Linked DNA regions of Rattus norvegicus. The protein of the gene in region 2 purifies or fractionates together with the protein of the main gene of each other region. This does not show direct contact. Links are inferred from orthologs where the notes say so. Each region holds a gene or a part of one and is shown on either strand. Other genes may lie near its edges. The genes, in order: Mapk3, Ptpn5 and Atp5po.

Region 1 (9,871 bases), about 84 Mb from region 2:
CTTTGTTCACAGTTATCACCCTTTCCCTCCTTCTCATATGAAGTGGGCTGGGTTGCATGTCCTCCAGGCAATAACACTGGGTCTCAGAACACACCTGAGCCCACTGCAGGCCTGCCTCTTCACAGGAGCATACCTGACTTCACAGCTTTCTAGTGCTGCCTGCCATCCACCACCCTTCAGACTGCTTCCTCACTATAACACTTAGGATAAGCCCACCACCACCACAGGGGGGCCCAGCAAACGTGGGTACTTCCTACCAAGTCTGACAGCCCAAGTCGGATACCTAGGACCTGCACAGCAGAAGGAATCTGATATCCTCTGATCTCCACACAGGCTCTGTGACATACTCATGCCCCAACACACAAAATTAATAAATGTGGCAAATAAACGAATAAGAAATTATGGAATCTGGGCATTGTGATACAGTCTTTAATCCCAGCACAGGGGAGTTAGTATGCTGAGGCCAGCCTGGTCTACATAGTGGGTTCCAGGACAGCCAGTTCCATGTCAAGAGACCCTCTTAGAAAAAGGAAGAAAGAAAGAAAGGAAGGAAGGAAGGAAGGAAGGAAGGAAGGAAGGAAGGAAGAAACGAAGGAAGGAAGAGAAAAAAAGAAAAAAAAAGAGAGAGAGAAGATGGAAATGTGGCTCAGTGATAGGATTCTTGCCTAACATCCAGAATCTGCATGATGGCTCAGGCCTAAAGGTAGGAGGATGTGGCCAACCTCCACCACATAGAACCTTTGGGGCTGGCCTGGATTAATACTGTCTGCGTAAATGAAACAAAAAGTGAGAGGCAGGTCTCCAAAGTTTAGGGGTGGGTTCCCTCAGCATCACTCAGGGCCACTGGCCCCTGGGGCTGCAGTACTCTCTAGGCAGACTAAAGTACCCTAGTGGCCAAGGCAAGGAAGGAACAGCGTAACTAGGCGGGAAAGCCGGGCGCGCTCTCAGTAGACCACGTGACATCGCGGGCCCGCGCAGGCTCGCCGGGCAGGCGCGGGGGCGGGGCGCGCGGGGGCGGGGGCGGAGCCTGGCGCGCGGCCCCGCGGTGACAGGGCGGCAGGGAGGGGCGGGGCCGCGGGCGGGGCAGCGGGGGGAGGCGGGAGGAGTGGAGATGGCGGCGGCGGCGGCGGCTCCGGGGGGCGGGGGCGGGGAGCCCAGGGGAACTGCTGGGGTCGTCCCGGTGGTCCCCGGGGAGGTGGAGGTGGTGAAGGGGCAGCCATTCGACGTGGGCCCACGCTACACGCAGCTGCAGTACATCGGCGAGGGCGCGTACGGCATGGTCAGGTGAGGGGGTGTCCCAGGAGGGGGCTTCAGAGCGGGGACAGCAGGTGCGTGCCCGGGACATGGGGTCCGGGGAGTGTCGCAGGGGAGGGATCGTGCAGTGACTTCTGGGGGACCAGGAGCTACTTTCTCCGGGAAGGGGGGTTGGAGGCTTGGAAGCCACCTTGTATTGTTAAGGGAGGGGCACCTGGGGGACCCTAGAGATACAGGTGGAGCTAAGAGGATGACTATTCTTGGTGAAGGGGGAGTGAGAGACCCATAAGCAGGTAGTGGGAGCCTTGGTTCCCCCCTGATGAGGTTGTGACAGAGTTTGAGAGAGCAGAGCAAAGCTCAGGGTGGGGCAAACCTTTGCACCCCTGCCCCTGGCCTTGCCAGAGGCCCAAAGTAGGGAGGGGTCTCTAGAATGTGCCTTATTTTGTGGGATACAGGTTTGTGAGTTCTCGCTGCCCCACTCTGTGCTCTGGGCCTTTGTTCCTATGGGAACAGCTCTGACCCAGGAACCTCACCGGGAGACAGACCTACCCCTTCTTATCTCTTCCCCTGTCCCATTACTGAATCCTCTGGGTTTCATCCACTCTCTCCATTTAACTCCCATCCCCTGGACCTGTCTTGGATTGAGAGAGTCCAGCTCAGGAAAGGGGAGGAGGGTGAGGGCAACTACAATGTAAGAGGGTCCAGGAGAAAGGAAGTCAGTGAGTGGCCACTCTCTTCCTCTGTTTGTGAAGTCACTGAAAGGCTGCCTGGCTGGTCCCCAGCTTTCCCCCTGGAGATTCCAGGCCTTCACAGCAGGAAGGAGCCAGCATTGTTTACACTTGGCCAGAACCCTCTCCTGCTCTCTCCGGTCCCTGCCAAGGCCTGGGTGGGGCCACCAGGCCTGGATTCCCCCTTTGTAAGGCCACACATCTCTCTGGCTCTCTCAGCTCAGCATATGACCACGTGCGCAAGACCAGAGTGGCTATCAAGAAGATCAGCCCCTTCGAGCATCAAACCTACTGTCAGCGCACGCTGAGAGAAATCCAGATCTTGCTGCGATTCCGCCATGAGAATGTCATAGGCATCCGAGACATCCTCAGAGCACCCACCCTGGAAGCCATGAGAGATGTGTATCCTTTAGCCACAGCTCCAGAGCGAGGCTAAGGAGCTTGGCTTTGCTTTCTGTTGTCGTCTGTTGTGCCACCCTCAAAAAAAAAAAAAAAAAAAAAAACCAAAAAAAACCAAAAAACTTAAAAACCCAGCAAAGTAACTTTTTAGCTGAGAGTCTACGGAGCAGAAGAGCACCCTGGCAGGCCTTGGATCCTGGTCTGTTGCAGCCAAGTGGAGTGGCCTTGAACACATCCTTTTCTGCTCTGTGCCCCAGTATGGTGTGTGGGGAGGGGAGAATGCTGGGCAAACCATCTCTATGGGAGCTTTGTCTTCTGACATCTGCAGTTCTGTGACATGACCCAGTCTCTGCCCACAGCCCTTTCTTGCTCAACAGACTCACGATTCTTTAGAGACCTCACACTGGATTGAAAGCGAGGAAGAAAACCAGCATTGGGCATGCCTAGCGCTTTGGTTCTAATTCAACCTTTTAGCTTCCCTGTGTGATGAGCTTTACCGCGTCCATTTCTAAGATGAGGAAACTGAGGCTCTGTGTTTTGCTGGGCCTTCTGTGGGGGAGGGGCGATACTTTCTCCAACGTGGAGAGGGTGGAGGCTTTCACACCACCTTGCATTGTTAAGAGGAGGAACCTGAAGACCCTAGACTCACAGGGCGGAGCCACGCCTTTGCACTCCTGGTCTAGCCAGGGGCTCAAGGAAGGACGAGGGGCCCTGAGAGTCTGCCTATAGAAGAAAGCCTAAATTCAGCTGTTCCTGTTTGTTGCTTCCTCTTCTTCCCCAGTTGGCTTTCTTGGAGCCTTCCCACTCTTCTGAGAGCCCCACCCTGATTACCTGCGGCCTTGTACCTTGACCAGGAAAGGTAGTCCAGCCCTTGTTGCCCTTGCTTGACACTGCTTGCCTAGTTCAGACATTTAGTTCATTGTCCACATGTACTTCCTGCTTGGCGCCATTGCTAGTAGACTGTAGCACCCATGGCCTCTTCCCTACCCACCCCTCCCGATCCCAGGATTTGTTCTGCAGCCTCTGCAGCTCTGACCACAGGAAATCGACTACTCCTGTCTTGTTGCATGACCTTCAGCAGGTCTCTGCACCTCCGGACTTCCACATTTGTAAAGCGGCAGGGTTGGTCCATGTGTGTGTATCTGCATATGCTTGTTCTCTCTTCTTCTTTTTGAGAAAGGGTCTCCCTATGTAGACCAGGCTAGCCCTGAACTCATAGAGATCCTGGGTGCCACCAGCCCCAGCTCTCACATGTCTTCTGTGGAAGACAGTTCAGACTTCATTTTTTGAGAAAGTGTCACTGTGTATCCCTGGTTGGCCTCAGGCTAACTCTGTAGACCTGGCTGGCTTTAAACTTCTAGGCAAGCCTCTGGCCTCTGCTTCAAGTGCTGAGATTGTAGGAGTGACGTACTCTGCCCAGCTCCTGATTACTCTTCCAAAGATAAGCCAGATGACATTTGTTTGTGTTTAGTCTTTGTTTTATCTTCAAGTATAAAAGGACTCTCAGTTCTCCACCTTCTGGTGTACGGTCAAGCTCTCTGTAGGAGCACACTGTGGTGGGGAGTGTCTCCTCACTTTCCTGGCACAAATCATCCCCACAAGGCAGGCATTTATTTTTAAGCAAACAGTCACTGTGTGCCAGATGGTATTCGTGCATTATCTCATTTAACCCACTCAGCGGCCACATGGCTCTGCCCATGGAGTAACAACACTGCTCCTTGTTTGCTGAGCGCTCTCCGTGTGCATCGTATGCTCACAGCACCCTCTGAAGAGCAGTTACTCTCCCTGCTTGTCAGGAGACTGAGGTGGTGTGGACAGGTTAAGAACATCGAGCTGTGGCAGCAACATGAGGACTTCAGGCATGAGTGGGTTAACTCAGAGCTCCCTCCCGTTCTTCCTACGTTCTCCCACTACTGTCCATCCAGCAGAGCCCTCATTTGCCCAGGGGAGAAACTGAGGGCCCAGAATAGATGTACCTTGCACACTGTCAGCTCCAAGTCTTGTGAAGCTCATGAGGCCAAGGGACCCTAGCTGGAAGGGAATACACGACCAGGTCAGAGCCTGTTTTCCTTAACGAAGTGTCTCCTACTCCCCCCAACGTGGGGGTCTCTGGAGGCGTCCTCAGTTACATTGTTCAGGACCTCATGGAGACGGACCTGTACAAGCTGCTAAAGAGCCAGCAGCTGAGCAATGACCACATCTGCTACTTCCTCTACCAGATCCTCCGGGGCCTCAAGTACATACACTCGGCCAATGTGCTGCACCGGGACCTGAAGCCCTCCAATCTGCTTATCAACACCACCTGCGACCTTAAGGTCAGAGGTTAAATGTCTGCTTCTCTTTCTTTCTCTCCTCCTGGGGCCTCTGGGTGGCCAGCAAAAGCAGCCTTGGAACATGGCAAGCAAGAACAGAATAGGCAGGGCAGGGGCACTAACTAGGCTGTGGAGGCCTTAGGCACCTAGCTCAGTAACCTGGGTTTGATTCCAGATCTGTGATTTTGGCCTTGCCCGGATTGCTGACCCTGAGCACGACCACACTGGCTTTCTTACCGAGTATGTGGCCACACGCTGGTACCGAGCCCCAGAGATCATGCTTAACTCCAAGGTAGGAGAGTTACCCACGTCTGCAAGGGAGTCCTAGAGCTATCCCTGGACCTTGGCACAATCCCTCGGGCCCTCGGGCTCTAGCAAGATGTAGAGATTAGAGTTTTCCTAGTCTCTGTCCTTTGCTTTGCCTTTTGCTGGGTTAGACCTAAGTTGGTTATAGTGCTTATCCCAGATACCAGGAGTGGCCCCGATAAGGCTGGCCAGGAAGCTCAGCACATTCTCCTCTCCAGGGCTACACCAAATCCATTGACATCTGGTCTGTGGGCTGCATTCTGGCTGAGATGCTCTCCAACCGGCCTATCTTCCCCGGCAAGCACTACCTGGACCAGCTCAACCACATTCTAGGTGAAAGGGCCTGTCTGGCTGAGAGGGATGGGGGTTAGCGGATCAGAAGTGACATTTCTGGAAGTCGAGACTTGGGTACCACATGTGGAGCCTCTCCAGCATCTCACGGTATTTCTGTAAGGTGTTCTTCCCATTTGAAAGCTGGGAGAAGCAAGGCTAAGCCCTACACCTAAGGAAGACTGCAGCCAGAATCTGAGTCCAGGACTCCCTGGTTCTCAGCTCTTCGTCACTGACCCAGTGGGTAGATGGGGAGTGTGGTGGCTAGGCTTGGACTCCTGTTCTTGCTTCCTGACCTGTTCCCAAAAAGAGGACTTGACTTCTCACAAGACAACTGGTTTACCCACAGGTATACTGGGTTCCCCATCCCAAGAGGACCTAAATTGTATCATTAACATGAAGGCCCGAAACTACCTACAGTCTCTGCCCTCTAAAACCAAGGTGGCTTGGGCCAAGCTTTTTCCCAAATCTGACTCCAAAGGTGAGTGAGAAAGAGGGCCAGGGGTAGGCTAAAACCCAGCAGCCAAGAAGGGTGTGTGACGCTAACGCCTGCCTCAGTAGATAGGCCCCTAGGCACTGGACGGGGCATGTCTGTGGAGCTGCCTTCCTCCTGACTGCTGCCCCCTGCCTTGCCTTAGCTCTTGACCTGCTGGACCGGATGTTAACCTTTAACCCAAACAAGCGCATCACAGTAGAGGAAGCACTGGCTCACCCTTACCTGGAACAGTACTATGATCCGACAGATGAAGTAAGCCGGCCACCAGCGGCTGGGAGGGGAATTAGTGTTCCCAGTGTCCGGCCTGTGCCTTACTGTCTTTGCCCCCAGCCAGTGGCTGAGGAGCCATTCACCTTTGACATGGAGCTGGATGATCTCCCCAAGGAGCGGCTGAAGGAGCTGATCTTCCAAGAGACAGCCCGCTTCCAGCCAGGGGCACCAGAGGCCCCCTAACAAGAACAGACACCCCTGTCCTTTTGGACCTGGTGAGTGGTTCCTGATGCCTCTGCATAGCCACATCCTGTTCAGAGGCTGGCCAGCCTGAGTGCTTCCTCATCTAATACATGTGTGGTAGCAACAAAGGGCCAGAGCCTGCTAGTCACATGTGACCACACACCCTCCAGCCCCATTCAATTCCCACTTGTCAGCATCCACTGAAACCCAAAGGTGAGGGATCCTCCCCTTATGAGGAGCCACTCCAGGCCTTTCGGGCAGAGTATACCATGATGACTTTGAGGGGAGCCCGTAATCACTGTAGCACTTGGTGGCTGCTCTTGTTAACTGCAGATAAGGAATCCATGACCCACAAAACTTGACAGACCAGAGGCACTGGAGTCAAGGCTCACCCAAATGACAGTTCTTTTCTGTCTGTTTCTTTCTTCAGGTCCTGCTCCTACCTGCTCCTTCTCTGCAGATTGTTAGAAAATGAACTTTGCTCAACCCGGACCCCGGCAGCCCAGGCTGGACCAAGGGTGGGCCTGGCCACCCCCTCTCACTCTGCTGGGGTCTCCTGCTTCAAGCAGGCTTCTCCCACTCCAGTCCCCTGCCCCATCTCCCCTTGACCTGAGTGATGAGGTGGTCCCAGAGCTGATCTCTGCTGCTGTGTCTTTATCTATCCCTGCTAGCCCCAGCTCTGGTAGACGGTTCTGGAATGGAAGGGCTATGACCGCCCTAGGACCTGTGCTACAGAGGGGTGGAGGGCACTGAGTAGGCTAAGCTCTGCCCTACTCATCCTGTTGGAACCCCACCCCATTTTCCCTGACAGAACATTCCTAAATCTCAAGGGCTAGTTTCCCTGAGGAGCCAGGCCTAGGCCTAACCCTCTCCCTCTCAAGCTGCCACATGTAACGCCCTTGCTGCTTCTGTGTGTGGGTGATTGGATGTGGAGGTGGGGCCCGTGGAGAGCCCGTGCCCCTCCCCACCTCCCTGTGCCTGTATCTAATATATAAATATAGAGATGTGTATATGGATGGCTCTGTCTCTGTCTGTGTATGCCGACGCGACCAACATGCTGCACCCATTACTGCCCCACCTCCAGCCCGGCCTTCACATGGTCCTGGTAGTCTTTGGCTCCAGCTCGCCAGGGATGAGGTTGGGTCTAAGGAGTGCCAGTCTCCTGGGAAGGGGTCAGTCTCCCTTTAGTCACTGTCTTCCCTAAGAGCTTCCTGTTTAACTGCCTGGAGTGATTTGGGGTGACTCAGGGGCACCTTACACATCCCCAAATTCCTAGGAAGTGGCAAAGGTAGTAAATTAAAGTTTCTGTCCACGAATACCTATGGGAGGCAGAGAGATCCAAAAACTAGGGGGTAGGGGTTGGGCTGCTTAATCCCCCACACACAGGGTCAAGAACAGAAGGGGGTGTTGGGGTCTCTGAACGAGAGACCCAGGGCTGTCTGCCTCAGTTCCTGCGCCTGGCCCCAGCTCTGGGCCATACTGCAGTCTGGCCACATTCCAGCAGCACCCAGCAGGCTCAGCAGGTCCATGGGTGTGGTGCTGCCCCGTGGTGGAGCCAGCCTGCACTGGCTCAGCAGGAAGGCTCGGCCCCAGGCATCAGAGCCCTTTGGGACTGGGAAGGCAGTGCTTTTGACAGAAGCCTGCTGTGGAGCGAGGCTATGATCCCCCTCGTGTACTTCGTTCTGCCCACCCTGGGCAGCTATGTAATTCTCTCCATCTTCTTCCTGCGCCGACCTCACCTGCTGCACACACCCTGGGCTCCAGGGTTCTCCATCCGCCTGGCTGCACACCGTGGAGGTGAGCTGAATCAGGGATGTGGAAGGGATGGAATCCATTTAGGATAGAGTGAGCCAAACCAGACAGGTGCCATGGTGGGCAGCAGCACATTGTCAAGGTGCAGGGCAGGAGTGAATGTTAAACCAAGAGCGAGGTAAGGAGAGTCTCGGCAACTGGAGGGCATGTGACGGAAGCAGAGGCCAGTTCAGCTGACTGGAAGAGAAGAAGCCTAAAGCAAGCAGATGACCATCAGGAAGAAAGGTAGGCAGGAAGGTCAAGCCAGGTCCCAGGAACCCACCCAAACTGCTTTCCACAGGGTCTGGGGAGCGGCTGGAGAACACCATGGAGGCAATAGAGAAGTGAGTCCAAGCCCCAGCAAGTCCCATGTAAGGTTGTGGGGTCCTGGGTTGTGCTCTGCGGGGCAACCAGGGTTGCTACTTACCGGCTTCGTCAGTCGGGTATCTAGAAGCCCTGGAATTGTGTAGATGGGGGTCACATGTCCCACCGTAAATTCTGTGCCAGTATTTCCCCTCCACTACATGCCCTGGTCTTTCCTTTGTCCCCTTTCCCCCCACCAACCTTTGCTCCCATAGTTCCATGGCCCAGAGAGCAGATCTCTTGGAATTTGACTGCCAGCTCACCCGAGATGGCGTGGTGGTAGTGTCACACGACAAAAACCTGTCCCGCCAGTCAGGCCTAAATAAGGATATAAACACCCTGGACTTTGCGGTGAGTTTTGCAGCCCCTCAGCCTGAGAGCTGCCACCCTTAGACACATGCACCCTGATGATGCTTCTCTGCTCTCCACAGCAACTGCCCCTCTACAAGGAAGAACTGGAGATTTACTTCTCGCCAGGTAGGATGTGTGTGTCCTTGCACTGCCTAGCCGCCTTCTCATATACGCTCATTAAACCCCTCCCTCTAGCCCGTTTATCCCACTCTGACCCCAGTTTTTGTGACACCCCCCCCAGGCCATTTTGCTCACGGGTCAGACCGGCACATGATTAGTTTGGAGGATGTATTCCAGAAATTTCCAAGGACTCCCATGTGCTTGGAGATCAAAGAAAAAAATGAAGAACTCATTCACAAGGTAGTACCTTGTGCCCAGCAGGTGAGGCCAGGCCCAAGAGAGGCCTGGCTTCCCTTCCTCCCTTTGTCTCTACTGTAGGTAGCCAACATGGCGAGGCGCTTTAACCGAAACGAGATTACTATTTGGACTTCAGAGAAGAACTCAATCATGAAGAGATGCAAGGCTGCCGTGAGTCCCTCTTTCTCTGTTGTGGGGTTAGAGGCCACCCCCAGCCCAAGGAAGGGCCCCAGGAACTAGCCTTCAGCATGGTCTCCAAGAGCAGGATTGGAAAAGTCAGACATAACTGTGTACTGGCATGGTGTTGCCAGGAGGCCTGCTTTGGGAAGCCTCCCATACTGGCTGTTGGTCAGGTGTTTGCTACTGTGACAGACTTCAAGCCATACCTCACGGGTCATTGTTCAGAGATTTTAACCCATATCACTTTGGGCCCAAAGCTAGAGGTCAAGAGAGCTCAACAACAGCTTAGGAGGAGCAGAGATAACGCCTGGGCTGACTTCTTCCTTCTTCCCCATTTTTTTGGGCCCGGGAGGTGGGGAGAACAGGATATACCATTTTGGGAGCAGATGCCAGGCTGCTTCTTCCCCTACAAGCTCCTTCCGAGCCTACGGAAAAGCTACTGCCCACAGTAAGGGGGCGCCTTCTCCCATAGCTAATTTTGTGGAAACATCCTCAGGCGTGCCCTCAGGTATAACTCACCAATCTCCTAGTACTACTTCTTAGGCCCATCA
Region 2 (9,653 bases):
CCACTTTCCCATCAGACTCACTAGTAAGGTAGTTCATTCCCTGTGCCACATGGGCTCAGTGCTCCAGGCTCCACCTGCAGGAAAGTGCCGGACCCCAGTTTTCTTCTCCAGCCTTGTGCTCCACACCATCAGGCACTGTCCACTTCCAGGCCAGGGGACTCTGACCTTCCTCACATTATTCCCACCTCCACCACCCAGCCTCCGCTCCCACTCTCGGCTCCCACCTCTTCCCATGAAAAGAGTCCTCCATGGTCCTTCCTCCTCAATGGATACCATCCATTTTTGTCAAGGAGGAAGGAACACGGGCTGCTTGCCCACTCCGTGCACTTCTGCACATGTGTGTGGTGAGGGTTTTTTTAAATTATTATTTCTTTTAATTCTAACAAGAACCCTAGGAAGGTGCCATTATCTGCATTGTACAAAGACTGTATAGTGTATCCAGAGACAGATTAGAAGAAACTGCACAGGGAGGCATCCCTGGGCAGGCATCCCACCGGCCATCAGTGAGGGGATGGAGTTGGGGGTGAACCTAAGAGTTAGAGCCAGTTTGGAGGTACAGGGCTAAAACTGGTTTGCTCAGCAAGTACGACACCATGAACATAGACCCGCATGGGTCTGCAGGGCAGAGGAGGGAGGCATGGAATGGAAAATCAAGAAAAAAGAAAGCCAAGTCGTGAAGATCACGAGTTCAAGGTCTACCTGGACTACATGAGTTTATTAGTAGTAAGCCACTTGCTGAGCCTCTGCCCCAAAATTTAAAAGGGTAGGGGAGCAAGAGAGCTGGGGTCTTAGCTCAGTAGCTGGGTACTTGCCCAGCATGCACAAGGCTCCGGGTTCAGCCAGTGTAAGGGGAAATAGGAAAAGAGACAAGAGAGGGAGGCTGGGTCCAGAGAGGCTTCACACACCAGGGTGTCTATCAGACACAGAGCTGCTTCCAAGGGACAAATGGCCTTAAGGGATGGAGAAGCAAGCTCTTTTTACTAGGCAATCGGGGAGGGTTCCTAAAGGAAGTGACCTCAGATAGATGTGCGGAGGCGATGAAGGTGGGCAAATATTATTAAATAAAGTGAACATCACAAGCAAAAGTCCAAGGAGAAGGTGACAGACAGCAGGGATACACGTCCCCAGAGCTACCTGACTGGCTGCTGCAAAGAGAGCAGGGAAGGAGGTGGTGGCTGGCAAGGTCGCTTTTTGTCTTGTTGTTTTCTCTTGGCCTTTTATTGAACGTCTATCACAAACCAGGCTGGCCCTCAATAGACAACTGCCGTGCTATTTATTTTATGCCCTTGGCATATGCCAGTAACTATTCTAAATGGGTGTGTGTGCTAACTCACTTGGTAGGAAATGCTTGTCAAATGAATGCATGAACTCATGACGGTCCCTGCACTGGCATTCGGAGGCAAGCAGCCTCTGAATTTGGAACCTCTGGGAAGACCATCCTGAAGCTGCTCACAGCCCCATGTCTTCCTATTCTAGGAAATCCCCATGAACTTTGTGGATCCAAAAGAATATGACATCCCAGGGCTGGTACGGAAGAATCGGTACAAAACCATCCTTCCCAGTGAGTACCTGTTGCCCCAGGGTGGGGAGAGAAGCGGGGTCCTGTCATCTGGGAAGGACCTCCTCAAGTCCAGGGCCCCTGGGGATGATGAATGATCATCACAGGAGATAGAGTGGAGGCTGGGACAACCAGGAAAGGGAAGGGAATGAGCAGGGACGTCTTCACCTTCTGTCCCTGGACCCTTGCCCTTCCTGGTCAGTGGCATAGAGTACAAGAGTAGAAGCACTTACAAAAAGGGTGGCTCTGAAGCAGTGAAACGTGTGCATGGCCTTTCCCTTCTGAGAGGGTATATCATAGTTTAAGAAAACATTCATGGTTCATTCAGAGAAGGTAAGTGGCTTCTTCCACGTCAAACCACACAGCTAGTAAACCAAGGCTTTAAACCTGGGCTTCTATGACTACCTGTGTCCTGTATGACCTGACTGTCAGTCCTCTAACAAGTCCAAAGGGAATGAGGTGCTGTCATCCTGTAGTGATCTGTCTATCATGGGGTGTATCCAAGTGAAGCTATCCTGTAGTGATCTGTCTATCATGGGGTGTATCCAAGTGAAGCTATCCTGTAGTGATCTGTCTATCATGGGGTGTATCAAGTGAGGCTATTCTGTAGTGATCTATCATGGGGTGTATCAAGTGAGGCTATCCTGTAGTGATCTGTCTATCATGATATGTATCAAGTAAGGCTATTCTGTAGTGATCTGTCTATCATGGGATGTATCAAGTAAAGCTATTCTGTAGTGATCTATCATGGGGTGTATCAAGTGAGGCTATTCTGTAGTGATCTGTCTATCATGGGGTGTATCCAAGTGAGGCAGGCTACCTAGTGATGCCCCTGTAAGGCCTGAGCAGGGCTTGTCTCCTTCGGAAGTACTTAGACCTGGCGACCTACCATTCCCATTCTACCCCATGATGCCATTGTCAGGTCATTTTCATCAAGACCCTCTGGGGGGCTACCTCATAAGGGAAGGGGTGGCTTATTGGAAATGAGCCCCCCAAAAACCTACTCAACCCAGTGTGTGGAGTAGTGAGCCCTTAAAAAGCCATCAGCATCTCCAACAGCATGTAAGATGTCATGACTTATTTTTAACTTTTAAAATATCGACTTGTGGTTGCTATGGTTACACAGTCTCTAGGTAGTTACGTTTAAACAAAGCACCATTTAAGGCCAGGATGCCTTATTTGGGCTGCTCACTCACCTCTCTTCTCAACTTATCCTCCCTGTTCCTCTTCTTCCTGCAGGCAACAGCCTGGCTACCCCAGGACCCAGCATTTTGCTTTGCTCCTTAGAATGGAGCTAGCCATACTCTGTGTGGTCCTGCTAGATCGTTGACGGGCTCCCACCTCCTCCAACCATACCCCGAACCTCCAGGTTCCCACACTCAACATAGAATGTGGTACAGCCAGGCAGAACTGACCCTGAACCTTAAGAAACTGGACCAGGAGTGGGGGGTAGGGACAAAGAACATGGAAGGCCCATCAGAGGCAGCCTCTGTGATCAGGGACACCCTGAGATTTATTCTGCCACTGATCACACACATTTCCTGAGGCCCATCCCAGGGACTGAGAATTTGGATGCTGCACACAGAGCTTGGTGTCCAGCAAACGAAACAGCTCTATAAACAGTCCCAGGGTAAGCGCCACATCAGCAACCCATGCGAAGATCAAAATTCAGGGTCACAATGCTGCCCCTTAGTACCTCAAGCCCCAAAAGGACTGCAAGCAACTGGGAGACACTCTGGTTCTTCTTGAATGAAAAGGTGGATGACTCCCTCGGATCCAGCCCCCTCCCTCCCATCCTTACTATCAAGTGATTTTGTGAGTGTTCAGTCTTCCATATTGTCCACTTTTAATGAGCACCATTTACATAGGGTGCACTGGCATAAACATCTCTGGGAGAGACAACGGGCAGGACAGCCTGTGACCTTGACACTTACCGGATTGCGGCAGTCATATCCTGACTTGAGCTTTTTCTCCTTCTTGCCTCTCTCTCACAGTGAGGCAGAGCAGAAATCTAACCGTGTCCCCTTCTTCCTTAAACACAGTCAATGTCACCCTCTCTAGCCTGGTATGTGACACTGTCTGGCATCTGGCTCCTCTCCAGCTTTATCTCTCACCAGCCTCAGCCTTGGCCTGTGCACTTGGTCAGACAACATGTTTGCTGTTTTTCTTCCTGGTCCTTCAACCCCTAAAAGGTGCCACAACCACCCTGTGCCAGTCCCGGTCACCTCTGTCCCTCAGCCCCAGAGCTCTCTTCCTACCCAATGCTATGCTACCTTTGAGGCAGGGATTATTCATCTCTCGTTGATCTAGAAGGCTTTTCTCACAAACATAGCATAAGCAGAGCTGGTGTGAACCTGCAGTCGTGACTGCCACCACAGTGACTCTCTGATTGCCAGAGAGGACAGCGCCCACAACTGTCCTTCCAGCACCTTAACCTGGATAGGCGAAACCAAGACAGTCTAAGCAGAGCTGTCTGCTTGAGCACTCTCTTCTGTTGGCCATGCAGAAGCCCCCCTCCTGCCTACTCTTACTCCTCCCCTCCCCTGAACCACTTCTATGCGCTCTCGACAAGAACTGTCCACACCCTTATCACCCCGCCACGACCTAGGCAGAGATGGAAATGAGAGGCGGACACCCACCACCTCCATCACTGCCTCAACAGCTCCAGGTTCTTCTCCATCCCCATGGTCTGCTGGACCCTCATGATCACGACAGCTATGTTTGTTACATAGCATTTGCCATATGCTGTCAGGTGCTGCTCTTGGGCCAGGGGCTATGGGTTTTTCCTTTTAGCTCTCTTTCTACTATTATTTATTTATTTTATAAGCACATGCATATAAGTGTATGGGGCACACTTGGGGAGGTCTGAGGACAACCTGTGAGATTCAGTTCTCTCCTCCAGCACAAGGGTGCCAGGGACCCAACTCAAGTTGTCAGGCTTGGCAGCAAGCATCTTTACCCTCTGAGCCACCTCACCAGCCCCTGTTAACTCCTTTCATCCTTATAAGATGAATGCCTTATAAGGCATCAGGGAGTGACTCTTCACGACATTCCGAGACAGCACATACTGAAGAAATGTGGGTGCTGTGGAGGAGGAGGTTGGGCCCAGCTCACACCCTCACCTGTCTCCCACCACAGATCCTCACAGCAGGGTACGTCTGACGTCACCAGACCCTGAAGATCCTCTGAGTTCCTACATCAATGCCAACTACATCCGGGTATGTAGCTCCACCCCCAAGAGTCCTCCACTAAAGGAGAGGCATGAGCTGATGAGATCTATCCTTCAGACTTGTCCCCCAAGCAAGTGTGGCTCCTACAAGTCCTAAGAGGAGCCTGAGTGTGGGATGGGGCCCCGGGAGTGCCGCCTCCGACCCTGACCTGACTGGGCTGGACTTGGGTGGTTGCAGGGCTACAATGGGGAGGAGAAGGTGTACATCGCCACCCAGGGACCCATCGTCAGCACTGTGGCCGACTTCTGGCGCATGGTGTGGCAGGAGCGCACACCCATCATCGTCATGATCACCAACATCGAGGAGATGAACGAGGTAGGGACCCCGTGCCACTGCTCCTTGCTCCTTGCTTTGTGCCCCATGTGAAGCATCTCATTTGCATATTAATCCTTCTGAGGATCCTGTGAGCCTGGCATGCACTCAACTGTCCACACAAGGAAATGAGAGGTGTTGAGAGCTAAGGTATACACTCAAGGCAGCACAAAGCTGAACAGGGCTGGAGCCGTCCCACCCACCCGGTCCAGTAGCCATGATTTCAGCCATGATCTTCTGCTGCCTCCCAGTCTGCCACTGATGTGCAAGTTCACGATGAGTAGGCTCCTTTAATTGAAATCTCCACTTAAAAAAAAAAGAAAGAAAGAAAGGAAGGAAGGAAGGAAGGAAGGAAGGAAGGAAGGAAGGAAGGAAGGAAGGAAGAAAATACCCCTCAGAGAGAGGTTGAAGAGAGCTCTCAGTTGAGGACCTGAGCTTTATCCCATGTAAATGAGTCCAGATGTGGTGCATGCAGTTGTATTCTCAGTGCTCAGGAAGCCAGGAAATGGGCAGATCTGGAGCTCACTGGACAGCCAGTCTAGTTACTTAGCGAGTTCCGGGAGATCCTGTCCTAAAAACCAAGGTGGACTGCCTATGAGGAACTACACTCACACTTGAGTTTAACTCTGACCTCCACATATAGGCACACAAACACTCACACACACTCACACACACACACTCACTCACACACACTCTCACACACACTCACACACACACTCACTCACACACACTCACATATACACACTCACACACACACATACACACTCACACACACTCACACCCACACTCACACACACTCACACACACTCACACATACTCACACACACTCACACACACATTCATACACACCTTCACACACACACACTCATGCACACTCACACACACACTCACACACTGACACACACAAAGTCCTATAAAAGGGTACCATTTTCCTTTTTCTTTCTTTTTTTTTTTTTTTTTGTTCTTTTTTCTTTTTTCGGAGCTGGGGCCCGAACCCAGGGCCTTGCGCTTTCTAGGCAAGCGCTCTACCACTGAGCTAAATCCCCAACCATTTTCAAATGGGGAAACTGGGGCTCAGAAATGAGGAGAAGGCCACAGGTTATGAAATCGAGGTTTCAACCACAGACCTCTAAACCGAAGTCTGTTGTCCTTGTATACCTGTCTGCTGGCCCCAGTGGAGCAGGAAGGGATGTGGAAGAGGAATAGGACTGTAACCCAGCCTGATCTTGGTCCTTGCAGAAGTGCACGGAATATTGGCCAGAAGAGCAGGTCGTCCACGATGGCGTAGAGATCACTGTGCAGAAAGTCATCCACACAGAGGACTACCGGCTGCGACTTATCTCCCTCAGGGTGAGACCTGGACCTAGACAGAGAAGGGCTGTCGGGGAGGCTTAGTTGAGACCCCCCACTGAAAACAGTACTGAGAGGCCTACTGTAGGTGACCTGTGGGCCCACAGCACTCCCAGGACTTACTGGTAAGCAGGGGTCAACAGACTCAGACACTAAGAGAACCTCGGCTGCACTTTGCACACCTTGCACGAGTGTGCACTGAGCTCTTGCTGTGCACTGCTGACCATAGCAGCTCCTCTTCACCCCTTCTCAAGTCCAGAACCACCTGGGCAAGGAGGCTTCGAGGGCTCCCAGCGTCGTCCTTACCTAACTGAGAGTTCCTTATGACTGAGTGACAGTGATGTCCCTTCCCCTGGGGTGCTGGCTTCCGATCTGATGCACCCCAAATGTCCACCAGCAGAGGGCAGGCACTCCTTGCTGCTTCGGGGCACATGGTTATGGTTACAGGAATGGCAGGAAAAAGGAAAGCACACAAAATCTGAGCAGCATGAAGCAGCTCAGAAGAGCGGAGGACAGTGTCCTCTGGCTGCAAGGTTGTGCTGCTTCCGGGATAAGCAGAAGAGGAGAGATGTTCCTTTGGTACATCAGAAGGTTCTGAGTTTGGAGAAGTGATAGGATGTGTTTGTGGAGGGTGGAGTCCCCTGTGATAGCCCAGAAAGGTAGAGAAGTTAAGTCAAGCACCAGGAAGCTGATGCCCCATTCAGAAACAGCCTGACCCTGATGCCATAGGGTTCAGCCACAGAAAAGAGCTCAGGGCCTGACGTTTGTGCCTCTGAGCTGCCCTGTCTCTCACTGGATACAGTGCTGGACAAGGCACCAGGGCGTGTTAGCCCTGTGCTGTCAAGTGGACACTGTCCACGTGACCATCTAACGCCAAGACTTCCTGGAAACCCCGAAGGCCAGGGAGTGAGGGGCAAGTGCTGTGGTCACTGTCACAGCAGAGTAACTCAAGGACATGAGGAACCATCTTCCAAATAGAGAGGCTATGAGACAGGCTAGAGAAGAGACAGGACATCTCGCGGTTTGAGGGTGCTTCTGAGCACCTGCTCTGTGGTTCTGGGTTGGGTAGTGGGGGGGGGCATAACCGCGTCCTGGACTCTCCCTTCAAGGAGCACCCGTAAGGTGGTAAACACCGACTAGAGATAGGCAAGGCTACAGAAGGACAGTCTGCTGAGTGGCTTATCTGTGGTGGAGGCTGCTTCCAGGAAGTGCTGTATGGGGTGCTGGGGGATTGGTGAGGGGTGACCGGAGTGGGCTCTTCTAGCACACAGAAGGCACAGCTACATGGGCAGCACACACTCGTGCTCATTTCCTAGATTGTGTCCTTACTTCCTGGGGTCTCTAATCTAAGGGTATGAATCACATCTGAAGGGGTGGACTCCTGACCCATCTTCAGATTCTCCCAAGGCAGAAAGGAGGTCTCAACATACAAAGTTGGGGGAGGAAGCCACCGCATTCAGCCCACATGAAGGGTTTCTTGGTTTGGTGTGGGATTAGAGATTTAACCCAGGTCCTCACTCACACAAGGCCAGAACACACACATACACTCACACACTCTCTCTCTCTCTCTCTCTCTCTCTCTCTCTCTCTCTCTCTCTCTCTCTCTCTCTCTCTCTCTCGTTGAACTACATCCCCAACCCTTTTGACTGTTTTCTTCCTTTTGAGACAGTCGAGACAGTCTCACCAAGTTTCCAAGGCTGGCCTGGAACTTGCTCTGCAGACCATACAGGCCTTGAGATTGTGCTCTCCCTGCCTCAGGCTTCCAAATAACTAGAATCATAGGCCTGAACCATTAGACCCAGACAGCAAAAGGTCTTAAACACAGTGCAGTGTCCAGATCTGTGTTGGGGGGCAGACAGTTTTGATACCATGGGTCATTGGCAGTCAGGGAGGAGGAAGGTTGGATCTTCCCACCCTGGGATGATAAAGCAAAGAGGAGGCTAGCAACGGCTAATGAGGACAATGGGGTGGGCAGTCATGGTGCCTGTGCTCTTGGTCATGTGACTAAGGGATACCTGGAACATCTGGCAGGATAAGGAACTTTCAGACAGTAATAAATTAGAGAAGAGGGCCTTTGCCTCTCTTGGATGATTTTAGAGTTTAGAGGTCAACGTCACCTGCACACACACGTGCACACTGATTGGTCTTGTGCCATTAAGCAATAAGGTAGATGGGGGACTAAGGATCCCTACTCTCCCCTACCTTTCCTCCCTTCCCATCTCCATCTTTGGATCAATTAGGTCTGAAAGCATTCACATGTGTCTGGGGGTGGGGGGGGGGACTCTCTCTCTTTCTCTCCTGGGCAGAGAGGGACTGAAGAGAGAGGCTTGAAGCATTACTGGTTCACATCCTGGCCTGACCAGAAGACCCCCGACCGGGCACCCCCACTCCTGCACCTGGTACGGGAGGTGGAGGAGGCAGCCCAGCAAGAGGGACCCCACTGTTCCCCGATCATTGTTCACTGCAGGTAGGTTCTCCTGGCCACCCACTGGGGCAGGGCCACCCCCATTCCTGGGCTGCCTTGTCCCTCACCCCATCATCCCATTGGCCCTCAGTGCAGGGATTGGGAGAACCGGGTGCTTCATCGCCACCAGCATCTGCTGCCAGCAGCTGCGACGTGAGGGCGTGGTAGACATCCTAAAGACCACGTGCCAGCTCCGTCAGGACAGGTCAGCCCACCGATCAGGGGAGGAGAGGGTGGCAGTGAAATGTGTGCGTGAATCCAGGGACAGTCGACAAACCAGACATGGTGTGTAAGGGAGCAGAAAAACCAAATGGGAGAGAGCAGAATCCAGTCAGCTCTCTCCAGGAGGAAGGCAGAAGAGAGGCAGCCAGCGGGAAGGACGGGAGCTTGAAACAAAGGTGTATCCCAGGAAGGGGCAATGGCTGGGGAGAGTTGGTCTCTCTAAGATGCAGACCAGCCGGTGGCCCTAGTGTTTGGGGATCCCCTCCTGCAGCCTACTGCATCTCTATTGGCAGGGGCGGCATGATCCAAACATGCGAACAGTATCAGTTTGTGCACCACGCCATGAGCCTCTATGAGAAGCAGCTATCCCTCCAGTCCTCAGAGTGACCACACTCTTCCTCTGAGATCCACTGGGCACTGCCGAGTCTGAGGCTGGGGCTTCACCCCAACTACCCAAGGTCTTACCTTGGGTCCTGGGCCTGTTCCCTGGCTCTCCCCTTCAGTCTGCCCCCATCTG
Region 3 (9,966 bases), on a different chromosome or scaffold from region 2:
TCATAATTTTTATCAAGGCCTGAGAAAGCTTTTTAACCCTCATAGCCAGTTCTAGTCGAGTACACCCTAGAGATGGGAGTATAGACAGTGACCTGTGCCCTTGAGAGGTGCTTTTTAAATGGCATTCCAGGCTTCTCCAGTGACAGACTCAGTGCCTGGTGCTATATGAAAAGATCTTTGGTGTTTGATATCACTTCAATTCCTTAGCACATAGGTTTACTCGAATCAAGGCTGGCCTCCTCTTATGTTCATTAAAGTTTTTCCCAAAGGTGATAGAAATATAAATCCTCCACTTTGCTAAAGCATTTTCCTCAAATGTGATAAAGCTCTTGACTTTTTTTTTTTTTTTTTTAAATTCAATTTTGAGAAGCTAGCATTTTCTTTCTCAACTACCCAGGGAGGAAGGCAGTTGAAAGACAGTTTCTGAAGCAGTTTGGGGTGACTCTCAATAGGGAATGTATAGGTAATAAGGAGCAGTTCCCAGTCATGTAAGCTTTGTGACGATAATGTAAAAGAATTATGCAGCTCTTTGATTGGAATATTTTAACCTATTGCTAAGCTAATGCAGAAACCCTGTCTCATCTATTTTCTTCTGTTCTAAAGGTGCGGAGTTTCAGCACATCTGTGGTCAGGCCCTTTTCGAAGCTTGTAAGGGTATGTCAGCTTGCATTTGTCTGTGGGGGGGGGGTGGTTGGAAAGCAGTGAGGGAGTGAGTTGAACAGAAACACCGTGAAGTGTGTGTGCGATTACTAAACTTGGTCTGCAAGGATAGCAGTTCTCAAACGACTGCCTGGGATGCAGGGGATGCTGTCAGGTGCCTGTCACATAGGGTGGGCTCAACCCTAGTCTTTAATGTTCTAAAATGTACTTGTTTGGGCCAGCAAGAGGGCTCAGTCGGTAAAGGCTGGTGATGACAACACACACACAGGGTATGTATAAAAGAATCTTAAATTGTTTTTTCTAGTATTCCTCCATAGACAAGCTAGCCTTTCCTTCTCTTTTTATGAAGGAGCTATTTGTAACAAAAGAAAGTAAAGTACCCAGATTCTAACATAGTCGATACTCTGTGTTGCCTCTTGACTCTGGCAGCAGTGAGGTATGCCTGCAGTCTGCACCTTTTTTCCCTCAAGTAGAGTCAACACTGACAGGTACTGTTCCAGGCACCAACAACAGTCTGACTGAGCATTGCAGAGGTCTGCTGGCCTCTTTCTTTTTTTTCTTTTTTTTTTTTTTTTTCTTTTTTTTTTTCGGAGCTGGGGACCGAACCCAGGGCCAAGCGCTCTACCACTGAGCTAAATCCCCAACACCCCTTTTCTTTTTAAACCAGGAGTCTGACTGACCCCCATGCAGGCAGCTCCACCCTCTTACGGAATTCGGATTGGAGTGTGGCTGTGTGTGCATTTGTTTTGTAATCCTTTATTACTCGTTCATGCATGGCAGAATGTAAGGATACTCTGGGCTGCCGTGTGCTCTCTGACACCTGGGTCAGTCACTGCACTCACACTCTCCTCAGGACTAGCAAGGCAGAATGCTCTGGGGCACGTGAGATGGGACTAACAGCAGTACACACTACACTTCCTAACACCACCAAATCCCTTCATCCTCTGTGGGTGGAGCCATTTTATCCCTCCCGAGAACTTCATAAAACACCATTACCATGATGGGGACGCACGCCTGCACTTCTTACACGCTGTCCCCCTCCGCTTACCTTCACAACTGCCTGCCATGGTACTAAGTAAACTCCTGTGCTTAAGGACAGCACTGTCACTGGGGTCATGAGGTCAAAGAAAGCAAAAGCTTGCCATAACAGTTGCAGGCAGGGAGGCTGGGAGGGACACGGGACACTGCCTTCCCTGCCCCTCCAAAGTTAGGGCAGGTCCTGGCCAGGGAGTCATCCCTGGTTTGTGAATTCTCACTTAGGCTGCCCCTTGGTGAAGTATTTAAATGGTGTGGCAGTGGGAACGTGGTCTTAGCTTAGGAGTGATTCTGTTCCTGGCTTAGCTACCTCACTCCCCTCCTCCTCTTGTCTCCAGCCCCCTGTCCAGGTCTACGGCATCGAAGGCCGCTATGCAACCGCCCTGTACTCTGCTGCGTCTAAGCAGAAAAGGCTGGACCAGGTGGAAAAGGAGTTGCTGCGAGTGGGGGTGAGGAGCTCTCCTGTTGGACCTGTTCCCACATTGTCTTCAGTTACTGTAACAGGGCATGACCTTAAAGAGAAGCACTAGACACTACAAAGAATGTTTACTGCAGACATGCTGTTGATGATGAGACAGCTTTATTATTCTGAAACTTTTCTGTAATGTGAGCCAGGAGATGCATAAGTTCATTACCATGAACCCAAGTTTTTCAGCTAGAAAATAAAAGTAACTCAAGAGCACCCGCCATTTTAGACAAGAATCTAAAGACCGAGTTAATGTTTATAAGCCTAGAGTGGGAGAAATGTCCTCGACTCCATCTTCACGGTACTGAAGTTATATTTTCTTCCTGAACGTTTCTTTAGAAACTTTTCCTGGGTTTAATTATTTTTTTTTTAAACGTTTCTTTCTTTCTTGGGAGTTGGGGAGTGTCAGGCACGCACAGTGCAAGTGCAGAGGTCAGAGTCCTCCCCCTTTACACTGTGAGTTCTAGGGGTCAAACTCAGGCCAGCGGCCTTGGTAGCAAGCACCTTTGAGCTCAGGCCATCTTGCCCTTCCTGGGTTTGTATAATTACTTTGGTCCCAAGATGTGAAGAAAGAATGGCTGGGTGCACAGTCGGAGTTGGGTGCCAGCAAAGTGAGACAGCAGCTGCCCAGGCTGCAATTTCCTCTTTGCATTTTCTCCTGAAACACAGAAGAGGAAAAGCAGCCTTGTGAATTAGCAGAAACCCAAGTGTGACTCGGGTCAGAGGCCACCCCTTCCATTTCCTCTGGGGTAGCTGCCCCTAAGGCTGTAGGGCTCCCATAAAGGAAGAGTTGAGAGAGAATAAAGTCGGTCGCTAAGAGAAAAGATGGTTTTCCAGTTACATGTTTTAAGAATGGTGTATATTTTGTAATCCACACATCTACTGAAGAGAAAAGGCCCGGCCACACAGGATAACACCGTGTCCTCTGTTTATCGGCTGCGTGTGGTCAGTTCTGCTCTCCCTGAGCCAGGAAGTCCTGTTCACCATCAAGATGGTGATTTAGACGGTGGACATTAGAATGGGGTTGAGGCAGGCAAGATGGCTCATTGGGTAAGAATACTTGCCCCCAAGCCTGACAGCTGGAGTTCATTTTCTGGGACTCACATGGTGGAACGAGAAAATCGAGTCTAAGGCTGTAGGGCCCCCTTGTTTGTCCTGCACACATTCACTGTGACCCACACAGGTACAGGTGCGTGCCCTCCTACCCCCACCCCTCCCTGCCCCCCCTTCTTTCTTTCTCTGCCCCCCCTTTTCCCATCCCCCCTTTCCTCTCTCCCTCTTCCAATGACTTAGGTTTTGGCTTAATAAAATCCAGAAGTCTGTCATAGAGGAAAAAGAGGGGTGACAGTTATCTGAGGTTCTGAACATAAGTGAGATTATGAGGGTGGGGAGGGGTGTGGATAAAAGAGGTCACCCTGACTGTCTCCTGGATTTTGCTAGCAGACACACGAACTGTGCAGCCTCTCCAGTGTAAATCGTAGCATGGAAGTCTTTGCATTCTATGGCAATGGCCTAAATTCTGGCCAGGAGCCACTGAGGTGCTGGGAGTAGCTGACAAGCAGGAGGACACATTTACCAGGAAGGTGCCCACCCAGGAAGAACTGCTGCGGGTCCTAGAGCCCTGGGCGGCTGCTGAGAGCAGGGGATGAGATGGATTGACAAGGTGTTGTGACTTTCGCCCTCTCAGACCAGTCTCTCAATGTTAGGTTTGTTCCAGGACCTCTGTTGGAGGGAGGGCACACCTAGGGTCTCCTGAGACACAGAAGCTCAAGGGTTCTGTACTTGTGGGTGGTGCTGTGAGGAAAGCGGGCTTGCCGTGTCATACATGGTGAGACTTTGGCTGCTTAATTCTCGTGATCCTTCTTAAAAATGCATGCAAGAAACTCCAGAAGGTGTTTTTGAGGTTCCTCAAAACATGGTTTTAGTCCCATGTGAAGTCAGCTGGGACTGTGTGTGCTTTCAGCAACTCTTGAAGGACCCCAAGGTGTCCCTTGCTGTTCTGAATCCCTACATTAAGCGCTCCATCAAAGTGAAAAGCCTGAAGGACATCACTACAAAGGAAAAATTCTCTCCGCTGACGGCCAACCTCATGAGTGAGTGCTGGGGTCCCAGTGGGCTTTTCCTAAATCCCTGTTGGGTATTTAAAAACAGCGCTCATAACCACTGAGCGCCTCTCCAGACCCCATTCATATCCTTAAAGGACTGAGTATGGTATTTTCAGGCTACAAGGTGTCATTGCTTTCGGTGGCTCAGTGAGTTTCCTGTCACTTTCCCAGATTTACTTGCTGAAAATGGTCGCCTAGGCAACACCCAGGGCGTCATCTCTGCCTTCTCCACCATCATGAGTGTCCACCGTGGAGAAGTGCCGTGCACAGTGACCACAGCATTTGTAAGTAACAGCTCTTGCTGCTGCACTGGGGACATGGCTGGTCCCTCGTGAGGTTCTGTCAACTTCCACTCAGAAGACCCAGTGTGTGTCCTATTAGTGATTAGTCGTGGGGGTCTGAGTGTTTTATGAAATAATGACTTAGGCCCTGTTACAACCTGAAGTCTTAAATGGGATGGGAGCATTTACCTGTGGGTTGGGGTGCACAGGCCCTCTGATCCACTGGAATGAAATGTTAACGAGTCACCGTTCTTCAGGGCTGCCATCTGCTGGGGACCTTGTAATGTGTTACTGCTCTCAGAAAATAGGCATCCAATTGAACTGTAATTGTCCTTATTTTACAGTCAGGAAGCCCAGCTCAACAAGACAGGCTCAGGATCTGAACACAGGCTCTCCTCTCAGAGGCCCATACTCTTTATGCATTATATGCCCTGCGACAAGTCATTTTATTGTTCTCCCCATGACATAGGTCAACCAGAACAGGAAAGGTGTTTGATGCAACACATGAGTAGTAGTGTACAGCCCCTGGCCTCATCCAGGTTGTAGTTCAGTTGGGGGGGTGGGGAGCTTGTGTGGCCAAGCCCTCTGCCTAAAACCTGTGCATTAGAGCATGCATTGTGGTGTGGCCATTCCCCAGGCCCCCACCCCCACCCCAAAACACTCAAGCACACACTCACACATTCGTGCATGCATGCATACACATGTGCACACAGGTCAGTCAGGAGTCACTGGCCTGTCTTGGTTTCATACCCACTGTGGTATTTCTCTCTCCTTTGACTGTGTTTGCTGCTGTAGTGCTCTGCTTAAAGGATTGTTGCTTCTTTTTCAGCCTTTAGATGAAGCTGTTCTCTCTGAGTTAAAGACAGTGCTGAATAGCTTCCTGAGTAAAGGCCAGATACTGAACCTGGAGGTCAAGGTGGGTTTGCATAATTGTGGAGTGTGTTAGTGCCAGGGCAGGGCTTACACACAATGGTTCTGACTCAGGTGTAGTTCCCATTTGTGTGGTGGGTGGCCTGCCTACCCCGGGATGTTCTCATCTGCGCTGTGTTTCATGTGTGCGGCCTGTTTTCTTTCCTAGACTGACCCATCAATCATGGGTGGGATGATTGTCCGAATTGGAGAGAAATACGTTGATATGTCTGCAAAGAGCAAGATTCAGAAGCTCAGCAAGGCCATGCGGGATCTGCTCTGAGAGACTGTCACCTGTGTGAGCGCTTGTCTTTGGAGCACAATAAAATGCTTCCTGAACAGAGGACGTGAGGGCCCTTGTCCTTTAAGGGGCAGCACCAGGTTTTCAACCTCCCACAGGACAAATCCTCTCATCTCCAGGTTAGAAAGTCCTTTGGGCTGGAGGATTTAGTTTGTATGTGTCATTCGTAGGAATTCATTGACTCAGTAAGCATTGTACCTACATATATAGTCTAGTACTGCCTATCAAAATCTCCTATCTTTGAAGGGAGCTGAGAAGTGGTCCCTAACCAGTCATGAAGACCTCCCTACTGAAAGGCTCTCAATCCTGACACAGAGCCCCTAACTGTAGGAAGCTCTAACATTCAAGACTACACTTTGTGTTCCTAGCAGTCTTGTGATTTGCTCAGAGCGACATGGCTAAGCAGCAGGTGGTGAGGCCCCAGGACCCTCATTTGCCATCTCCAGCTCACGCCTGTTCCCTTGTGACAGAAGGCACGCTTTGACCACTGCTGGAGCCAGCCCACCAGGCTACACACACGTCCCATGTCCCCTCCCCCAGTGTTCTGAGTTCACCTAAGCCAAGCAGCACACACATTCCTCCTGAAGCTTACCTCTGAGGCTGCTGGAGCAGCCAGATCTCCCTGAGTGACTGTAGTCCCTCCCTGAGCACTCCCAAGAGTGTTTGCCTAACAGACTACTCTGACTACTCCAGAGCGCTCCTGGTGGATACCTCAAGAATGGGCAGAAAGAGTGCAGCAAGTCCTCAAGGGCAGGGGCGGGCCCAGGGCTCCACTCCCTGCCTGCTCCAGCATGGCTGTGGGCCCTCACCGGCCCATCGGGCCTGGCAGCCACCTGCCAGAGACCCCAACAGGACTACAGCACAAAGGACTCTGCTTTCCAGGGGCCAAGAATGCCAGGACAGGTCTGATAGCATTTCTCACTCGCTGCTCACAGTGCAGCTAACCGCTTGCACTGGCCAGGTCTGAGGAGCCTCACCACAGGTAAGGCTTAGCGGGTAGAACCGAGGGAATGGGCGTGTCCCAGGTTGCCTTCACCGCAGCAGCCTGGCAGTCCACACTGGTGGGTTTTTCCAACTGCATCCAGTTGAGATGGCCGGGTCCAGGCTGGGTGCCAAGGCCAGTGCTGTCAAAGGCACCAACGCCTTGCCAGGTTTCCCCATTGACCTCTGGGCTCCCACCACAAGGAGAATGACCCAGTGCTAAAGCTGCATCCCACACTGTTGAGCTTCCCCTCCTGCTGAGTGTGACCATACCACACCATTCTCTTTTCTATCTTTCCCCTTTTTTTTTTCTTTTTTTTTTTCTTTTTTTCTTTCTTTTTTTTTTTTTTTTTTTCTTTTTTTGGAGCTGGGGACCGAACCCAGGGCCTTGTGCTTGCTAGGCAAGCGCTCTACCACTGAAGTAAATCCCCAACGCACACTCCATTCTCAAAGAAGCCCAGCTTCCTCCTGATGACCAGACCAGCAGCCTTACACTCTAACTCCAAGGCTCCTATAGGCAATGCCTGCCACAGACAGCTCACAGATCCTTGAGAATTGGCTCAGCCAGCTTCCTCTTGAAGAAGCACACAAATCCTGGAATACCTGGAGCTTGGCATCCTGAAGTTGCCAAAGATGACCCCAGAGCCTTTTCCACGGTAACTTAATGTGGCATACAGCCCGGAGCTCTGTAGATGAGGCTGGCCGTGAATCTAAGGCAGCCTCTCAAGTGCTGAGATTCAGACATCACACACCCAGTTTACAACAATGCCCTTCCTAACACCGTCAAAACAGCCTGGTGTGTGCCACATCCCATAATCCCTGCACTCACAAGACTGAGGCAGGAAGATTATGAGTTTTGATGCCATCCTTCTTTACATATCAAAACCCTATCTAACAGCAGAACAAGCTATGTGGTGGTGGCACATGCCATTAATACCAGCACTCAGGAGACAGGCAGGCAGATCTCGAGTTCAAAACCAGCTTAGGGGGTTGGGGATTTAGCTCAGTGGTAGAGCGCTTGCCTAGGAAGCGCAAGGCCCTGGGTTCGGTCCCCAGCTCCGAAAAAAAAAAAAAACAGCTTAGTCTACAGAGTAAGTTCTAGAACACTCTGGGCTACACAGAGAAATTTGGCAAAAAAAAAAAAAGAACAACCCAATACAGGACAGCCTGGTGGGGAAGCTTTTATCATTCTTTCAGAGGTACTGAATTCTAATGCAGCACTCAGGTCAGCTCACAAACACCTGTAACTGCAGCTCCTCCAGTAAGACACACTTGTGTGTGCATGCACGCCCCCACATAACAGTAAAAATAATAACAAAATAGATGTCAAAATGTGCCACTTGGTACTTAAGACAGATTAGTATAAATGAATGTCAAGTCAAACAGCCCAGTCCCATGCAGTCCTCCAAAACCAAGTTGTGGGAGACGAGAACTAATGAGAAAGCAAGCAAACAAGACGGGAAGGTTCCTGTGACGTGTGCAACTGAACAGTCCTTGTGTGTGGGCACAGTGTAGCATCCATGCTGGGTTCTCAGGACACAACACATGAGGGCATCACAAGTCTCACACGGAACCCAGTTGTGCATGCCTGGAACCTCAGTCTTGGGGTGGTGAGACAAGAAGACCAGGAGTTGAAGGCCAACCTTGTGTGGCCCTGCCCAGAAAGCAGAAAAGCACTTGTGTAGGAGTGTGGTGTGGCTTCGTCTCCTGTATTTTTCTGGACCTGCTGACTTTGCCTTTGGCACCCCATGACTGTTCTCAGCACTTCTCATGCTCTCAAGAATACTCAACACGAGTCTGTCTCTGCTATCCCAGGAGAGATGAGAAGGTGGCGGTTGCCTTGTTTTGTTTTTCTAGGTTAATTTTTGCATCATTTTTCTTGTACAACTACAACCTTATCTCTGGGAAATAGACGTAAGTAGAGACACCTGTCTCAGGGCTCTTAGCATCCTGTGTCTGCAGAGGAGTGAAGGCAGAAAGAGCTCAACCTGAGCGTGAGGTTGGCTGTTCTTACTTTCATGAACTATGTGATTTAAACCATGCAGGTCAAAAGGACCCCAGAATCAACTGAGGAGGTTGTCCTTATGCTCTCGATTTAATGGCGGCTCCTGCCAACGCTGCCTGTGCTGCAAAGAAAGCAGAAAACACCCTGACGCCTTGATCTGAATGGACAGATTCACATGCAGATGCCAAAGGGGTGTTCCAACCGCAAAATAAATAAAGAAAATTAAAAACCTGCTCTTAAACAGAGAAGAAGCAGTGTGGCCCTATGCTAGCAAACCTTAGATAAGAGTGGCATTCTGTAATTTATAGTAACGTCTAATACTTCTTTAGAACTCCATTAATGTTACAAAGCAGATATGATCTCTTTTTCATAAGTACTGTTACTTGGCAACAAATAGGTATTAGAATGCACAGGACATGTATTGGGAGTGGCCTGCTCTGCCGCTGGGCAAGGCTGTGAAGGAACCACGTGCCACCAGCCTCAAGGCCTACTACAAAGATCACAATGGCTGGTTAACCTCACCAACACACCGGGGGAGGACCTACATCCTAACTTCTCTTGTCTGCACATTCACAACACCTAGGACAAGGGACAATTGTGTGGGTGACTTATCTTCCCAGACTATGACCACCCCAGCCCAAAGGCCAGCATTCCAGGAGAGAAGGAATGAGGTCTCTGGTAGCCAGAGATTTAGGTGGGTCTGCGTGTTGGCCTGACAGCCTTCCCAGGCTACATCTGAGCAGAGATCTCTGATGGCCTGAGACTAGGGACGGTTGCAGAACACACAGTCATTTCTAGTCTCTGCACGGCCCAGGCAGCATCCTGCAGTAAAGCTGCCCGCACCTCTGCAGTCAGGACATTACTTCCACTCCAGCCTCCAGCAGCATGAAGCCTATGGCTGGCAGTAGTAAGAGGCATACAACGTACTCCAAGACGTGCTGGCCCAGTGCTCACACTGTCACGAGTCCTTTTAGTGCACCCTAGACTTTCAAGAGTGATCAGTATTCACCCGAATCACCAGAAGCCAGCTCTTAGTTGAGAGGCAGATGGGTAGGGTTGGACTAACTAACCACTAACTAAAGTCATCTGGGATGCTCTCTCAGGGAGCAGGGGTTGGAGGCGAGGCGAGAACTGGTTCATTGACCCTCCCTGGCTCACCTGAAGCAACATCCGAGGTGCTCAAGTACAGAAGGGCTGCACCCAGGAGCAGCCTGGACTTTGGA

Evidence for each region.
Region 1: the proteins of Ptpn5 (region 2) and Mapk3 purify together in Homo sapiens (affinity purification with mass spectrometry; 4 studies listed by BioGRID and IntAct, with this or other methods). This does not show direct contact. The link is inferred for Rattus norvegicus from reciprocal best matches to the Homo sapiens genes PTPN5 and MAPK3.
Region 3: the proteins of Ptpn5 (region 2) and Atp5po purify together in Homo sapiens (affinity purification with mass spectrometry; 3 studies listed by BioGRID and IntAct, with this or other methods). This does not show direct contact. The link is inferred for Rattus norvegicus from reciprocal best matches to the Homo sapiens genes PTPN5 and ATP5PO.

The regions. Positions count from the first base shown.
Region 1 is NC_086019.1:190,796,117-190,805,987, forward strand, and holds Mapk3 (mitogen-activated protein kinase 3), read left to right. Parts: upstream 1-1,077; 5' UTR 1,078-1,111; coding exon 1,112-1,284; intron 1,285-2,201; coding exon 2,202-2,384; intron 2,385-4,506; coding exon 4,507-4,696; intron 4,697-4,868; coding exon 4,869-4,985; intron 4,986-5,217; coding exon 5,218-5,332; intron 5,333-5,678; coding exon 5,679-5,810; intron 5,811-5,967; coding exon 5,968-6,077; coding exon of another isoform or gene 6,078-6,155; coding exon 6,156-6,278; 3' UTR 6,279-6,310; intron 6,311-6,708; 3' UTR 6,709-7,295; downstream 7,296-9,871. Other genes in the region: lysophospholipase D GDPD3, read left to right, coding at 7,937-8,075, 8,371-8,413, 8,648-8,783, 8,864-8,909, 9,025-9,143, 9,222-9,311.
Region 2 is NC_086019.1:106,757,739-106,767,391, reverse strand, and holds part of Ptpn5 (tyrosine-protein phosphatase non-receptor type 5), read left to right. Parts: intron 1-1,476; coding exon 1,477-1,561; intron 1,562-4,696; coding exon 4,697-4,776; intron 4,777-4,965; coding exon 4,966-5,103; intron 5,104-6,339; coding exon 6,340-6,450; intron 6,451-8,756; coding exon 8,757-8,917; intron 8,918-9,005; coding exon 9,006-9,119; intron 9,120-9,429; coding exon 9,430-9,523; 3' UTR 9,524-9,653. UniProt on the Homo sapiens protein: May regulate the activity of several effector molecules involved in synaptic plasticity and neuronal cell survival, including MAPKs, Src family kinases and NMDA receptors.
Region 3 is NC_086029.1:44,647,005-44,656,970, reverse strand, and holds the end of Atp5po (ATP synthase subunit O, mitochondrial precursor), read left to right. Parts: intron 1-603; coding exon 604-654; intron 655-2,033; coding exon 2,034-2,144; intron 2,145-4,124; coding exon 4,125-4,254; intron 4,255-4,437; coding exon 4,438-4,550; intron 4,551-5,376; coding exon 5,377-5,463; intron 5,464-5,625; coding exon 5,626-5,739; 3' UTR 5,740-5,800; downstream 5,801-9,966. UniProt on the Homo sapiens protein: Subunit OSCP, of the mitochondrial membrane ATP synthase complex (F(1)F(0) ATP synthase or Complex V) that produces ATP from ADP in the presence of a proton gradient across the membrane which is generated by electron transport complexes of the respiratory chain.